Arabidopsis thaliana: one gene and its partners. The protein of the gene in region 2 interacts with the protein of the main gene of each other region in a pairwise test. Each region holds a gene or a part of one and is shown on either strand. Other genes may lie near its edges. The genes, in order: TPL, HAT22 and LSMT-L.

Region 1 (7,843 bases), on a different chromosome or scaffold from region 2:
AACTTAATCATTAGACTACAATCAATTTGTTTAGAATATATTTGTGTTGCGCTCATAACGATTCTTTTCAATATATATTGTTTGATTAAAGCTTTTAACAAAGTACAGTTTGCTTTCTAAATTATTTTTAACACGTATCCAGTTTTTTAAAAATATATAAAAATATATTCTTCACACCTATCATTTTTTATAAATAAAATATTTTTAACATTTAAAGATATATAAGATATTTCTAATAGTATAATTTATTTTTAATACTTATCATGTTTCTTAAATGGTTTGAACGCTTCGTTTCATTAGTTTATCCAACCTACCTCAGTTATGATATTACACTTTAGTAAAATAAAAAAAAACTGGTTATAAACTTAAAATATTATGCTTTGCTCGTATTAAAGAATTTCAGTACTTGTATATCGTTTTTTTAATTATTATTATGATTTATGACCTCGCGATTCGTGATGGTTAGTAGTAGACTAGTCGTAGTGGACAACTACTGTAAGAAAAAAAACTAAAAATAGATAGACACACACGCTAAATTAAATAAATCGTAAATCACGATTACATATTTATGTTTGTACTTGAAAATGTTATCGCTTTACGTGTGGTGATGGTGAGACAACAGTGTTTGTGTTTGGACGGGATAGATGTCAAATTACTCAAACGTGCGACTCTAAATTACACAAACTCTCATTTATTGCCCATCCTCCATCGATATCTTCACCCCTCTAATATATTTTAAAAATGTTATTTATAACTTCAACAATACACATTCGGTTTCATTTACAATTAATCCTTGCGTTATTATTACTTCTAAGCTATAGTATCTTGTACTTCCTTCCCCTGCTATTATTTAAACGGAAAGAATCCAGCTAATTCCGATCCACCTGCTCCTAGTAGCAATCTATCTATAAACAAACAAAACTAAAGTATAAATTATCACGAACATCTTAACAATAATAGTCAATGCAAGTGGTTCTTGTGTATACAAAGAATTAATAGGAACTACTATCCACATCCTTACGTTTACATTTTTCACAACCAATCATGCACTAAATTAACCTCTAATGAAAAAGTTAAAAATAAAGAATAATATTATCAAAGAATAATGATAATGTTCAGCAACATGTTGGACCAAGAAATGTTCAAACAATACTATAATATTGAAATATTTAGTAGTATTAGTTTTGTTCTTGTTTTTTTTATATGAGGAACATCAGCCATATCGTATAAATCGTGATAAACCGAGTTTATAAATCATATTTCGTATCTCGCCGAGAAGAAAGACGACGTAGCATCTTTACGAGTTGAACATTTCTCCATCACGTGATGTTCGATGAGTTAACGCATCTCAAGAGCAATTGGCTCTTCAATGTCATATCCGTAAATATTAGTCAAACTTGAGGGCAATGACTCAATATAAAAAGCTTTGTCGTGCCACGAGGGATCTGGAGACAAGTCTGACACATTGAATGAAACTCTAGCCGTTAGATCTCCGTCCTCCGCGCCATCTGACAAAATCGACGGTTTTCCAGATAGGTGTAAAACTCATCGCGAAGGAGTGGATCACACCTCTGTGGAGTACAGCTGGCAACTAATATTCCGAGCCGATAACGTCGAGAAATGTAGCCGATCAAGTCGTAGTTATAAGCAGTTCTACTTATCATTCCTGCTTATCGCAGTTAGCTTTTCTTAGAGTGATAGCTAACTTATTTTATCAGCATCCAATTATCTGTCACCTTCTCTTATTAAAATCTCCATTTCTGCAAGTTTTAATGTCCGTATATATATCTCGAAGAGAGAGAAAATCCCTTTTTCTCTAGATAGAGAGAGAGAGAGAGAGAGAGAAGAAGAAGCTTTTTAATTTAGTTTTGCTTTCTTTCAAGTTTCCTTTTTTCGATAGAGAGAAAAAGAGTCCAAAAATCAATCCATCACCTCTTTCGTCTCTGTGGTCTTCTTCTTCTTCTTCATCGATCTCTCTCTCTTTATGGTGAGTAAGCTTCACGCTTCTTTCTTCTACCTTTGTTGCCTCTGTTAATGGAATCTAGCTGTTTCGAGTTTTATTGTATATATTTTTTTATCCTTTTGCCCAAACTTTTTTCTGGGTTTTGCTTTATTTTTTCATCCCCCTTTCTGATAATTAATTTGCTTTTTTCATGTAGTAAAAAAAGATTCTTTTTTTAAGCTATTAAATTCACATCTTCCAATTCCAGGAAGACCTAAATTTCCTCTTTTTTTTGCCGTTATCTGCAGAGATGCGAAGTTTCTGGATAATTATTCAGATATAGGTTCCAAGTTTTTAGCTTTCATTTCTAACTTCTCTTTTCGTGTTTTTTAATTTCCATAATCTGGAAACTCAGATTTGAGCTCATTTCGGCCATTGTTTATATTGCAGATCTGGTGATAGTTTGGTTAGTTGTTGTGCATCTGAGTTAGAAAAAAGTCTTTTAAGGAAGTGAGAGAAAACATGTCTTCTCTTAGTAGAGAGCTCGTTTTCTTGATCTTACAGTTTCTCGATGAAGAGAAGTTTAAAGAGACTGTTCACAAGTATGTCTCTTTTGCTCTGTAGATTTCCTTGGATCTAATTTACCAACTGACCTGTTTAGCTCTTGTGTTGGTTAATGCATTATTGCTTTGTCATGTTCAGGCTTGAACAAGAATCTGGGTTTTTCTTCAATATGAAGTATTTTGAGGATGAGGTTCACAATGGAAATTGGGATGAGGTTGAGAAGTATCTCTCTGGTTTCACTAAAGTAGATGATAATAGATACTCTATGAAGATATTCTTCGAGATAAGAAAGCAGAAGTATCTCGAGGCTTTGGATAAGTAAGTCATGGTTGGGGATTTGTTTTTTTTTTTTCCTTTCAGTGAGATAGCAAAAGAAAAAGAGTCTGATTTGTGATTGACCTTGGTGACTTTTTTGTTGGTAGGCATGATCGTCCCAAGGCTGTGGATATACTAGTGAAGGATTTGAAAGTGTTTTCAACTTTTAATGAGGAGCTTTTCAAGGAAATAACACAGCTCTTGACATTGGAGAACTTCCGGTAATGTTATATTGGATTAATGTAGTGTCCAAAGCCTTTGTTTTCTTAGCCGTAGTTCAAAAGAAAGATTGATGCAGAGTATTAAGTGTTTCGAGTTTGATCAACTTTTAGGGAGAATGAACAGTTATCCAAGTATGGGGACACCAAGTCTGCAAGAGCGATCATGTTGGTGGAACTCAAAAAGCTGATTGAGGCGAATCCTTTATTCCGTGATAAATTGCAGTTCCCTACTCTTAGAAATTCAAGGCTGAGGACTTTGATCAACCAGAGGTTTATTGCTTTGTCCCTTAATCTTTTTGTCTTATTCACTTCAAGTTGTTGTTGGCATATTAATTCATTCTATCTTTTGTTACTGCATAACTCGCAGCTTAAATTGGCAACACCAGCTTTGTAAAAATCCAAGGCCAAATCCAGATATCAAGACTCTTTTTGTGGATCACTCTTGTGGCCCTCCAAATGGCGCACGAGCTCCATCTCCTGTGAACAATCCACTGCTTGGAGGGATACCAAAGGCTGGAGGATTTCCTCCTTTAGGCGCACACGGGGTAATTTAGTTTCTATCATTTTTATTTATGTTTTCCTGAGGCCAAGTGTTTGATTGTCTCTATGTTTCCAGCCATTTCAACCAACGGCGTCACCTGTTCCAACACCTCTTGCTGGTTGGATGTCTAGTCCATCCTCTGTCCCACATCCAGCTGTCTCAGCAGGAGCCATTGCACTTGGTGGTCCATCAATCCCAGGTACTACTTGCTTATCAAATGTGTATGTTTCTTCAGACACACTTTGTGTGATCTATGCAATTTGCTTACAATGGAACTCCTTTCCTATCTTTGGTATAGCGGCGTTGAAGCACCCGAGAACTCCTCCAACTAATGCTTCTTTAGACTACCCGTCAGCAGATTCTGAACATGTCTCAAAAAGAACAAGACCAATGGGAATCTCTGACGAGGTGAATCTAGGCGTGAACATGTTACCGATGTCATTTTCAGGGCAGGCCCATGGTCATTCTCCGGCTTTCAAAGCACCTGACGACTTGCCCAAGACAGTTGCGAGAACTTTGAGTCAGGGCTCATCTCCCATGAGCATGGATTTCCATCCAATTAAACAGACCCTGCTTCTAGGTGTGTTTCTTGCTCTCTGTATGTGCTTCTGTGTAATAATAATAATAATAATCATCAGCAATTTTCTAAATTCGTTTGAATTGTTGTACCAGTTGGTACAAATGTAGGTGATATCGGGCTGTGGGAAGTTGGTTCTCGCGAAAGATTAGTACAGAAGACGTTCAAAGTCTGGGATTTGAGTAAATGTTCAATGCCCTTGCAGGTGCCTATGCATAGCAACAACAAAATGTTAACTTTTATATATGTTATGAATCTACAGTGACTGAATTAGTTGTATCTTCAGGCTGCTCTGGTGAAAGAACCTGTCGTTTCTGTCAACCGTGTGATATGGAGCCCTGACGGTTCCTTGTTTGGTAAAGAACTCGCCTTTAAATTTATATCTGCACATGAATGCAACTTTATAAGTCACCAAACGTTCTGAATTGCAGGAGTTGCTTACTCGAGACATATTGTACAACTATACTCTTATCACGGAGGTGAAGACATGAGGCAACACCTTGAGGTCTCGTACCATTCACAAGCCTCTCTCTTTAACAATCGTTTTTTCCCTTGGGGATTTTCTTGTAATATTGTGATTATTTCAGATTGATGCTCATGTTGGTGGTGTGAATGATATTTCCTTCTCGACTCCAAACAAGCAACTATGTGTAATAACTTGTGGTGATGACAAAACCATCAAGGTTTGGGACGCTGCAACAGGTGTCAAAAGGCATACTTTTGAAGGCCATGAAGCTCCTGTTTATTCCGTTTGTCCTCATTACAAGGAAAACATTCAGGTAAGCTTAGCTAACCGTTGATCTCCCTCCCTTCTATTAAATGTTTCAGTTTTTTGATGTGTTGTATTTTTCCTGTCATCAAGTTCATATTTTCAACAGCTCTTGATGGGAAAATTAAGGCTTGGTTGTATGATAATATGGGTTCCCGAGTTGACTATGATGCACCTGGTCGCTGGTGTACTACAATGGCTTATAGTGCCGATGGTACTAGGCTATTCTCTTGTGGGACGAGTAAAGATGGAGAGTCTTTCATTGTTGAGTGGAATGAAAGCGAAGGAGCTGTTAAAAGAACTTATCAAGGATTCCACAAGCGTTCTCTAGGTGTTGTGCAGTTTGATACAACTAAAAACCGTTATCTAGCTGCGGGTGATGATTTCTCCATCAAGTTCTGGGATATGGACGCTGTACAGCTTTTAACTGCCATTGATGGCGATGGAGGCCTCCAGGTACATGAACAAAAAATGCCTAACTAGAAAAGTTTTCAGATATTCTTTTGGAGTTTCTTCTTAACTTGCGCTTCTAATATATTTAAACTAGGCAAGCCCGCGTATCCGGTTCAACAAGGAAGGCTCTCTCCTGGCCGTGTCTGGCAACGAGAATGTGATCAAGATTATGGCAAACTCAGATGGTCTAAGGCTATTGCACACTTTTGAGAACATATCATCTGAATCCTCCAAGGTACTTAAAATCTAAGCTAAGCTTTAAATTACTTACACCCAATTGAAAGATTTAGTCAACACTTCATTCTACATTTGCAGCCTGCAATAAACAGCATAGCAGCGGCAGCGGCAGCTGCTGCAACAAGTGCTGGTCACGCAGATCGATCAGCCAATGTAGTTTCCATCCAAGGAATGGTAAGAAATACAATTCTTTTTTGTTCTTTCACTCACTTTATTTTATCTTTCTATTATTCATCACTTGCCTTTTTAGAATGGAGATTCGCGGAATATGGTGGATGTGAAGCCAGTGATCACAGAAGAATCAAATGATAAGTCTAAGATATGGAAGCTTACTGAAGTCAGCGAGCCTTCTCAATGCAGGTCACTGAGACTCCCTGAGAATCTGAGAGTAGCCAAGGTATATAAAATATACATTTTCTGAGCCATGTATAGGGTATATATATATAGCTGTTCTTTTTTCTGACAATAAAACCAATGACTTTTGGCAGATATCAAGATTGATTTTCACGAATTCGGGAAATGCTATTTTGGCTCTGGCATCAAACGCAATTCATCTTCTATGGAAATGGCAGCGGAATGAGCGCAACGCAACTGGAAAGGTGAAATTGAGACTCTTTCTTAGTCAAATAATGATAAGTGTCACTGATCTCTACATCTCGATTTTCCGTGTAGGCGACAGCTTCTTTACCGCCTCAGCAGTGGCAACCAGCTAGTGGGATCCTCATGACTAACGATGTTGCTGAAACCAATCCCGAGGAAGCTGTACCTTGTTTTGCTTTATCCAAGAATGATTCATATGTAATGTCAGCCTCCGGAGGAAAGATATCCTTATTTAACATGATGACGTTTAAGGTAATGGGGACACATAGATGCTGATCTTTTGATGTTCTGTGTATGCAATTTGACTGACTGTTCTTGGCTAATAATTTGCAGACAATGGCGACTTTCATGCCCCCACCACCGGCTGCTACTTTTCTTGCTTTTCATCCTCAAGACAACAATATCATCGCTATTGGGATGGATGATAGCACGATTCAGATTTATAATGTCCGTGTTGATGAGGTAATGCATCAAAACTCAAGAGAAGAATGTAGAAAAGAAGATGAAGTGTTTTGTTTGTTAATATGATGGCCATCATGTTCCTTGTTTGCTCCTGCAGGTGAAGAGTAAGCTTAAAGGTCATTCAAAGAGAATAACTGGTCTTGCCTTCTCCAACGTATTAAACGTGTTGGTTTCGTCTGGAGCAGATGCACAGGTTCCCGCCTTAGACCATTTTTTTTTTTTTTTTTGAGAATCGATGAAGAAAAGATCAATAGTCTTTGAAATGTTTTTGTTTCAGCTTTGTGTTTGGAACACAGATGGATGGGAAAAGCAGAGAAGCAAGGTTTTGCCACTTCCACAGGGAAGACCAAACAGTGCACCTTCAGATACGCGTGTTCAGTTCCATCAAGATCAAGCTCACTTCCTCGTTGTGCACGAGACGCAACTTGCTATATACGAAACTACCAAGCTCGAATGCATGAAACAGGTATTTTATATTTATAGGCCGCTCTCTCTAAGATCTGCAATTTATTGCATTTGAAAGATGATTAATGATTGCAATGTTTCAGTGGGCTGTTCGAGAATCATTAGCTCCAATCACTCATGCCACATTCTCATGCGATAGCCAATTGGTCTACGCGAGTTTTATGGATGCAACAGTTTGTGTATTTAGCTCTGCAAATCTACGGCTGCGTTGCCGGGTCAACCCTTCTGCGTATCTACCAGCTAGTCTCAGGTAAACAGAGGAATCTTGAAATTTACCCAAAAAAACAGAGGAATCTTTAAATTTCGGAAAGAACGTTTCTAAACATCAATCGGTTAGTTGTTTATATATCATAAAGCTCCTCTTGTTGACTTGTGCAGCAATTCAAACGTACATCCACTAGTGATTGCTGCACATCCGCAAGAACCAAACATGTTTGCAGTTGGTCTCTCAGACGGGGGAGTGCACATATTCGAACCGCTCGAGTCTGAAGGTAAATGGGGAGTCGCTCCACCGGCTGAGAACGGGTCGGCTAGCGGTGCACCAACTGCACCTTCCGTTGGAGCCTCTGCATCTGATCAGCCTCAGAGATGATCTGATCCGAGAGCCACCTACCTCTCTGATTCCCTTTCTTCTATTTAAAAGTCTTTTCTTTCTTATTTTTTTGGTAGAAAAATTTATGACCCAGAGATTCTTAAC
Region 2 (4,194 bases):
TCTTTTCTTTTCTTTTGGATAATAAAAAATATAATTATTATATCTGGAGCCAAAACAAATAAATGTATATATGTCATATGACTGATGAGTCAGAAAAAAAACACTAATAAAATGTGAATTTTGAATAAATATATTTTGATGTATTGATATAGATTGGTTTGGCTTACCGTCTCATCTTTTATTTTTTTCATACCTTTACCTTCGTGAAGTTTTAGGATTCTCCATCTATTTAGTTATACTAGTTATAAGTGTTTTATTTATCGGTGGCAAATTATTTCAATCAATTTTATTTCCATTTTTGGGTTTGACGGTTGAAATCAAAACCAAGTTGGCACCAGTGTCTCATTAAGATGAACGATTAGTAAAGAATAATAGAGACTTGGCTAATTAAAGAAACTCTGAAATTATAAAATCGTAGTGGATACTTTACAAATATATACACGAATCCTCCTGTTAAGAATCAATCTAAGAATCTTTAAAATACGGAAGAGTGTTTGGTTGTTTATGTTTGTAAAGTGTGAACTCAAATTAGAACCCATATTTAAATATCATTTAACAGTATAAATCAATATTATACTCACATGAATGAACAATCATTTGTTAAGGATACGTCGTCAGACGTGATATAAACTTGTACAAAATTTATCAAATAATATATTTATTATTTTTACAAGCAAATTTATATTACCGTAATACATATTCGAAGGAAAAAAAAACAAGATAATACATATTCGTCATTTTTTCTCTACATATTTAAACCTGTAATTACAAACTATTTTTTTTTCTTCATCAACCAACAATCCCACCGAAAAATAAAGTGGAATCGTTGAAGAGTCTTATCTATAAAGACTATACCCCATTTCCCCCCAATTTCAACGTAATATTTTTTCCCTGGGATTTATCTTCTAACTAATTCCTAATTTGATTTAAGAAACAAAAAAAAAACCAACAAAAAGAAATTAAATAACTAATAAGTAACTAACATGCTGCAGAAGGATTAGTGAAAGGGTTATAGAAACGAGGCTTTGTGACGATGGAGAAAGCTCCTTTCGCCGTTTCTTCATCAACCGCCGTCGTATCTCCTCCGACACCACCACCGCCGAGTCTCTCACAAGAAGGGCACATAGTCAAAGTCGCCGCCGGCATGTGCATGTAAAACGGTTGAGACAATTTTAAAGCCTTAAGGTCTTGAAGCTCTTTTTGAAGCCTTCTATTCTCATCCGTTAAAGTCTCGCAACATTTCTTCAAAAACTCACAATCCACTTCTGTTTGCTTTAGTTTTGTTCTGTTCAAATTAAAATTTAATTAAAAAATATTTTTATGAACCAAAATAAAGAAAGAAAAGTATGATATTAAAATTCACAAAAGTAATCAATTATATTTACCTAGCTCTCCTGTTTTGGAACCACACTTCAACTTGTCTAGGCCTTAGATTCAGCTGTCTCGCAAGAGCTTGTTTTTGCTTCTGTAAATTCATAGAAAAAATAATTAACGATATGATTAACGTAAATAAGAAGAGACTGATTAGTTTAATTAAGGAAATAATTAACTATATCATACGGGATTAAGGGTGCTATGAAGTTTGAAGTTATCTTCGAGAAGAGCAGATTGTTGTTTAGTGAGTCTAAGCTTTTTACGAGCACTAACACCTTCTTCATCGTCATGATCATCACTCACTCTCGAACACACCACTCTCTCCGTCGTCTCCTCCGCCTCTTCTTCTCCATCGCCGCCGGAGATTTCTCTTTCTCTCTTTACCCTTCCGCTCGAGAAAGATGAGATGCCGCTGTGGGACGAGGTCTGCCGGCAAATTTGGTCGCCGGCGCCGGCACCAGTCTTGATCTTGTAGCTCTCACCGGATAGGCTTAGAGTCAACGACGGATCGAGCCTGATGAAACGATGGTCCACAGTGGAGGAAGATTTCTTGATGGCATGATTGTAATTATTAGGCGTTGGTGAGAGGCCTAAACCAAGAACAAGACCTGTGTTGCATGAATCATCAAGACCCATTTGAATTTTCTCTTCGTATTAATATAATCTTTAAGATCTTGAGAATTAATATTATGAAGAAAATTGTTTGTTAAGAATTTCTTCTGGTGAAGTTTGGAAGATTATGGGACGAAATGAAACCAAGATGGCTTCTTCTTAAGAAGGGGAAGAGAGTTTTTATTTTGTCTTTTTAATTTTTATTTTTAATTTTTGATGGGTGGGTGGGTGGGTGGCTAATAATTAGAATTAATCAAGGAATGTATTTATTTTGCTTACTTTTTTATATGGAATTTTCGAAAAAAAGAATGTGGAAAATTATGATAGCACAATTCTCTCTCCTTTGTATTTTCTTACTTACAAAGGTTGACCAAATGCGCACCCCACTTGCAACTATTATTCCCACTTCATAAATTTTCAGTATGTTTATTCATAGTATACAAATTTATACTCTGAGAATATAATTTTTATGACGTGGTATGAAAATTAAATTAGTTTTAAAAACCCAAAAAAAAAAAAAAAACGGTTCAACGCAATTTTTTTTTGGGTGTAATAGATTTTAGTCTCTCCAAAACTTTCGATTAGACTTTTAAACTCCTATATCCGAATTGATGGTTTGCATTTCCTGATAAACTTACTTCTATCTTTTACCATTTATACATTGCTTTACATGTTTGTTTCAATTTGTTAATCGGGATATATATCCACAAATTCAATTCAAGTCAACAATACAATTACTAGCACATGACGAAACGATTCTATATCCTCCCATGCCCACATTCAAAGATCCAATGTTCTGTGATTGATATTTTAAAATATTTACTCGAGTACAGATATTCTTGTAATATACCACTGAAGCGTTAAATATAACTAACAGAACTGAAGACTTCCTTAAAATAAATTAGATTATAATCAAATGATACATTTAACTTATCTAAGTAGGAGTATCATAATAAGTTGTCAATAGAGAGTAATTAAGAGGCAACTTTAATTAAATAAGAGACCACATGAATTGTCTCCCACTCCATGCTTTGCTTGAAGAAGGTAGATATGGGTAACATGTCAGCTTGCCTACCAATCTTCAACTTCCTCACACTACACATTGGGTTTTTAATTAATTTCTTCTAATTTCTTTTTATATTCCCCTTTCTTGTATTATTATTTAGGGTTTCGGATTGTGATCTCCACTTTCTTGTTTTAGGTTCGGTTCTCTTGATCTGGCCAGATTGTGTTGGGACTTATTTATCCAATGATTTCTATCTATTTATTTCCACCGCATTCTAGTTTTGATAATACTATGCTTTTATTGATTACTAGTAGCATATATGTAGAAAATGCATAAATATCATTACTCGAATTTAAACAATTCATTACAGGACGTAACAAATTATCGTTACATTTTCTGTTTTTATCGTCTCTGCTCTTACAGTACAAAGTGTCTTTTTATAGAATTAGCTAGAAAAATATTGGAACTTTTTTTACTAACAGCACCTCGTTTAGATAAATATTTAATTAATTGAAACAGTAAAATGGCGGAATAGTTCAACATTAAGTTTCATTATTCTGTATCAAATATTGTGAATGGCCTGAATTAGAAACGGGTGGGAGAAGAAGATTGGTAATCATGGTGGTGGTGGAATGTGATTCGTCAAACAGAAATAATATTGTTGAGGGACTTAACTTGAAAGTCGACGTGGGACGTTTTATTGGTTTTAGCCATACATATTTTGTTTTTTTTGGCACTTTCTATTTTCCAACCAAGTTAGGTTACCCATATTGTACAAATTAATATATAAGCGTGGCCTCGAAGGAGAAGTGGAGAAAGTACTCACAATCCGATTAAAATACTAGCTTATTTGGATTACTTTGGTTTGCAATTTTTTTTTCTTCTGATTTGTTTTAAATTAGGTTTTTTATTTATTTATTTAAGAAACAATTGCAAACCAAAAAAAAAAAATGTGAACTACATGCATATGTAAAGCATTTTATTTATATAATCAATTAGAACATCATGATTTTTATAAAATATGGTAGTGTGAAAATCAAAAGTTTAACGTGTACATTGTTAGCCATTTTGGTCACTTGTAACAGCTAGAATAGTCGGGGCGTCAGAAGTTACAAATGAAGTTATTTAAATTCGCCTTTTGATCATTTTGCTGGTGTCTTTTGACTAAAAAGATTGCAATCGCCATTACCAAAATCTTCCTG
Region 3 (4,528 bases), on a different chromosome or scaffold from region 2:
AATAACCAAACCTGTGATTCTATATAACCATTATTGGTCTATATCTGATTTGAATTTGCAGATACCTTGGATATAAGAAGACAATCCTGCTTGACCGTAAGAGACTCGTGGAGCTACTAGACTTACATCACAACAAGACCCTCACGTGGGATCAGTTTGCAGTAGCAGTCAAGGAAGCCCATGAGAGACGAGCAGGAGCACCTACTCATCGAAGAGTAATCTCTGACAAACCTAAGGAGGAAGATTACTTCTACGCAAATCCTCAAGAATGTCTTTGTGAAGGTACAAATTGCCACGACCTGTTTGGCCATAGAAATTTAACACATTGAAGTCATGTTTTTAGCATATTATATCTCATTGCTTCCGCAAGAGGACGGCATGTCAAACACTTGAACGGGAGCTGCATAGTTCCTTCCCTGAGTTTTTCCATTTTTGTTTGTAATTTTTTTCAATTTTCCTGCATAGTTGCTGATCTTGATTTATTTAGTTTTACGTAAATTAAGATGTAACTAAAAAGAAGATTATGTCTCATCTTATAGAATTTCAAAAAGCCTGCTTTTGGCAATAGCCTAACATACAAATTGTGGTCTCTCAACTCTGATGTCTTGAGGTTGATTCAAGTCTATGTGGTCTGAGACCAAACCAGTAAAGATTTTCTTTCTAGCCTTGAGTTTGTTCTGCAGGATAAGCTATACAAGCTAAGCTAATTCTCACTTGGTTTCCCAGAAGATAATATCCCCTTGTTCGCCAACCAACCCAAGATCTTTGAGCCTTCTCTCTTGGTAATACTCTAAAATGTCAAGTTCAAGCTCTCTATCCTTGAAGATTTGGTCGATTTGCTGAAGCACTCTCTTCTCACCAATCCTTATCTTGAGAGCCATTTCCAACCTAGGCTCAAGCTTTCCTTTGTCCAGAAGCTTCTCATCCTACAACAGACGATGAAGACGAGTAAGAAATGAGTGTTAAGCTGCAAAGACAGTACAAGTAAGAGCTCGAACATATATACCTCTTCAATGGTCGTATCAAAACCAGACAGAGCAGATTTGCAGGCATCTCTGACAACACGGCATATGAGTTCCTCGTTTGTACGACTTACAGGCAATTCAAGATGACCCCATATGGTGTTATTGAAGATAGATTCTAATAAGAAAGCATCTGGACCGCCAAGAGCCACAAGCCGAAGGTACTGAAGCATACCAGCGGGAAGAGTCTGGCCGTCTACTATGTCAAAGTATCCGGTCTCACCCATCTTGTTACTCTCAGCAATATCCAACTTATCCCCAAAGAATGGGTCTGATTCTGGTATCTCTATTGTTAAAGTATATGAGTTCCGTTTAGGGTTTGATTCCACAAAACCATAGTCGAGAGCAAGTTCTGCATTGCTTTTGTTCAGATCGTACTGAATGTATACCTATGGAAGAGATCATCCAAACAGTATTAAAGGGCTTGTTCTTACACTCTTGAGGGAGAAAACTAAGTAGACAGTGTTTGGAGCATACCTGCTCACCTGCTTTAACATAAACAGGTGACTTCAAGGAAAATAAGAGATCTCTAGAGAAAAGGCCGGCTCCTTTGATCTCGTATGCATAATCTTCTGTCTTTATCGCGGGGTTATGGTTTATCTGTTCAAATTCAAACATTGAAGTCAGAGATTCTCTGCTGAGCCAAGCATCAATGAATGAAGATTATTTTCTGAAGTTTTCACTAGACAATATCTGAAACAAGAAGATAGCTTGCCAAGTCTGCAAGAGGGATCAAGACAAGGTTTTGGCCACGGAGACGAGAAAAAGCCCTCGACTTGAGGATCCCAAACGCCCATATGAAGTCATCAAGTGTTATGCGGGATGAGAAGAGATCTTTGTTAGGCAGTAATATCTCTTGTTCCAGTTTCAAGAATTCATTCTCCACATACTCTTTCACACCCAATGTGGTGCTCAACAGTTGAGTCCCTGAGCCAAACAACAGTAACCACAAAGTTAATAATGTACATCATCATCAGCTACTGCTACTCAGACCAATTGGTATGAATCTAAACAATGATCAGACTTTTCAAAGAAAAGGGTAAGAAAATGGACCTTTAAGCTCAGCAAGCTCCTCTTCTGACCTGTACTGGAGACATTTCACGAAGAAGACATCTCATCAGCTTAGTGTTGATCAGAGATACAATTGATGATCAGAGAAGGACAAAACCCACCAGAAGACAGTAGAATCAGTAGATTGAGGAAGCATATCAAGATAAACTCTCCATGAAGACTCTTCTTCATACTTCTCTCTGATCAAAAACAGAGCTACTGAAACCCACGGCTTTAATCCGCCGCATAAAGGTCCAATCTTGGAAGCAGTCACTGTCTCTGGGTTTATCCACAATCGCTTGGGAATCTCCAATACGACCTCGTTTCTTCCAATATCACGCCTGGCTACAAGTCCCAAACCTTCCGGTACCACCGCAGGTTCTGCCACAGACTTCCCGGATACGACTCCTTGGTCTCTGAGCCATTTCCAGAAATTCCGAACATTTTCCGGCAACTCTGAGCTTGAAGCTGAAATGGGTCTCACCAAAGATTTCTTGGGTCGAGAAAAGAGAAAGGAAGGGTTTTGAGACTTTTGAATTGACGGGATACGGAGAAAACCCGACACGACGGCGACGGAGGCTGACATGGTGGTTTTCCGATGGCGGGTAGTATCAGTGAAACAGAGAGTGTGTGGATAACAATAATATCACATCAGTTTTTTCTAAGTTGTTGATGAGACAAAAATCTAGTTATTCTAGTTACCAATGTTAAAGGCCCATTATTCTAAAAGGCCAAGGCCTACATTTTATTTTTGTTCTGATGTAATTAAATTGTTAATTGTCTGTATTTATTTTCATTTTTAAAAAATTATCTTTTTAACTTATGGTAGCTTCAACTTCTTTTTCTTTTTTTTTTTTGTCATCTCAACCTTTGTAAGAAGAAAAATGGTCAACTATAGCTTCAACCTCAAATCTACTGACTTGACACTTGAGTTTTAAATAGGTAACATCTCATGGAGATCCCAATATTCATTCTAAATTCCTCCAAGATAATGCAACATGTTACAACAACAACAACAACAACAACAACAACAACAACAACAACAACAACAACAACAAAAGAGATTGGCCGAGACATATATGTAGTATGTACCCACCATATCACACATACCTTCATAATCATCATCATCATCATAATATCAAGTGGTCTAATTCAAATGTTTTTGATTTAATTATGTGTTTAAGTAGTTCATATTTAATTGTGTGCTAAAATACTTATTGTAATTGAAGAATCAAATATACAAGTCTTATTCACTATTCTTAATCAAATAGAAATTAGTCTTAAATTTGTAATTTAGGGGGTACAATGATCCACTATTCTCCATCAACGTAGAAGACAAGTAATTTACTTTGTAATATAGGTAATGGTACGTACGTAGTAATCACATGTAAAAGCGGAACTTTCCTTTCTCTTGTTTTGCCGGCTTGACCACGGGATATGAGACCAGTAAGGTACATGTGTAATGTGATACCTATCAGAAACCCTATTACACTCTTATCAAAAAACAAAACAAAACCTATTACACTCTCTCGGCTTAATTAAGATTATGATCAATTCCAAATATGTTTCTGATATAACTTTAATTATTAACGAGAAAACCAAAGTTTATTGCTACTTTTTTCCGTCGAAATGGCCGCTATTTTAAGTTTTAGACAATAACTTGGTCCATGAAATTAAGGTACAACGTCGATATTGATTAAGATCAGTTTACTTTTGCTAATATAACGTGTTAAGTTTGAGATGGGAGACACGTGAATGACTTTTCATTACTTTCAAAAATTGTTCAAAATTCCAAAATTGGCAACAAGACTGTTTTAGTTGTTAATATGCAATTAGACTGTTTCAATAGAGTGTATTTTTCTTTGTCAAAATGTAATAAGTACTAATTTGTCATACAAAATATCAAATGTCAAGAACATAAACTCTTCTAACGGAACCGCTTGTCGCGCCGAAACTCGTGTGGTAAACCTGAAAAACAACTCACTAATCGCAATTTTAAATCAGAGACTGAGAAAACACTTCTCACGAAAACCACAAAACGCGGTCAATATCGGGATGACGACATGATGTGGTGGTCGGATTGACACAATTCAGGTTGGTCAACAAAATTCATCCCTCTAAAATATATTTTCTTAGTTCGTTGCCAAACAGATATCTTACCTTTACTCTTTTTTTTTTTTTTTTAAAAACTCATATAAATAGGATAGTTATTAAATTTAACTACAAATGGTATTGTATATGTATATTCTATGGCTAGGTGAAAAGGCTTCCTTTAGTTCGAGAAGGTCAAAATGGATGGCTAATTAACTTTTATATACAAACAGTATATGCCTAACATTTAATAAGGAGAGACTCAGATTCCTTGTCAACTACTCACTATTGTCTCCATGACTCTTTAAAAAATATATTTTTATAGAATCTTAGTATTCAGAAATTAAACCGTAGCCTTTATAGGA

The links.
Region 1: the proteins of HAT22 (region 2) and TPL interact in a two-hybrid assay, tested with the Arabidopsis thaliana proteins (one study listed by BioGRID).
Region 3: the proteins of HAT22 (region 2) and LSMT-L interact in binary tests that used the Arabidopsis thaliana proteins (3 or more experiments, as listed by UniProt).

The regions. Positions count from the first base shown.
Region 1 is NC_003070.9:5,414,981-5,422,823, reverse strand, and holds the start of TPL (Transducin family protein / WD-40 repeat family protein), read left to right. Parts: upstream 1-1,790; 5' UTR 1,791-1,987; exon of another isoform or gene 1,988-2,250; 5' UTR 2,251-2,285; exon of another isoform or gene 2,286-2,392; 5' UTR 2,393-2,464; coding exon 2,465-2,544; intron 2,545-2,644; coding exon 2,645-2,824; intron 2,825-2,928; coding exon 2,929-3,042; intron 3,043-3,153; coding exon 3,154-3,312; intron 3,313-3,409; coding exon 3,410-3,587; intron 3,588-3,658; coding exon 3,659-3,782; intron 3,783-3,881; coding exon 3,882-4,163; intron 4,164-4,255; coding exon 4,256-4,365; intron 4,366-4,446; coding exon 4,447-4,516; intron 4,517-4,591; coding exon 4,592-4,665; intron 4,666-4,747; coding exon 4,748-4,939; intron 4,940-5,022; coding exon 5,023-5,385; intron 5,386-5,476; coding exon 5,477-5,617; intron 5,618-5,697; coding exon 5,698-5,793; intron 5,794-5,869; coding exon 5,870-6,016; intron 6,017-6,107; coding exon 6,108-6,218; intron 6,219-6,291; coding exon 6,292-6,471; intron 6,472-6,552; and 10 more. UniProt on the Arabidopsis thaliana protein: Transcriptional corepressor. May repress the expression of root-promoting genes in the top half of the embryo to allow proper differentiation of the shoot pole during the transition stage of embryogenesis. Regulates the expression of PLT1 and PLT2.
Region 2 is NC_003075.7:17,766,057-17,770,250, reverse strand, and holds HAT22 (Homeobox-leucine zipper protein family), read right to left. Parts: upstream 2,210-4,194; 5' UTR 2,011-2,209; coding exon 1,561-2,010; intron 1,466-1,560; coding exon 1,386-1,465; intron 1,286-1,385; coding exon 979-1,285; 3' UTR 575-978; downstream 1-574.
Region 3 is NC_003070.9:4,804,783-4,809,310, forward strand, and holds LSMT-L (Rubisco methyltransferase family protein), read right to left. Parts: upstream 2,736-4,528; 5' UTR 2,659-2,735; coding exon 2,195-2,658; intron 2,105-2,194; coding exon 2,076-2,104; intron 1,950-2,075; coding exon 1,738-1,949; intron 1,623-1,737; coding exon 1,500-1,622; intron 1,412-1,499; coding exon 1,007-1,411; exon of another isoform or gene 927-1,006; coding exon 711-926; 3' UTR 524-710; downstream 1-523. Other genes in the region: AT1G14020 (O-fucosyltransferase family protein), read left to right, coding at 62-329. UniProt on the Arabidopsis thaliana protein: Protein-lysine methyltransferase methylating chloroplastic fructose 1,6-bisphosphate aldolases. Can also use with low efficiency gamma-tocopherol methyltransferase as substrate, but not a cytosolic aldolase.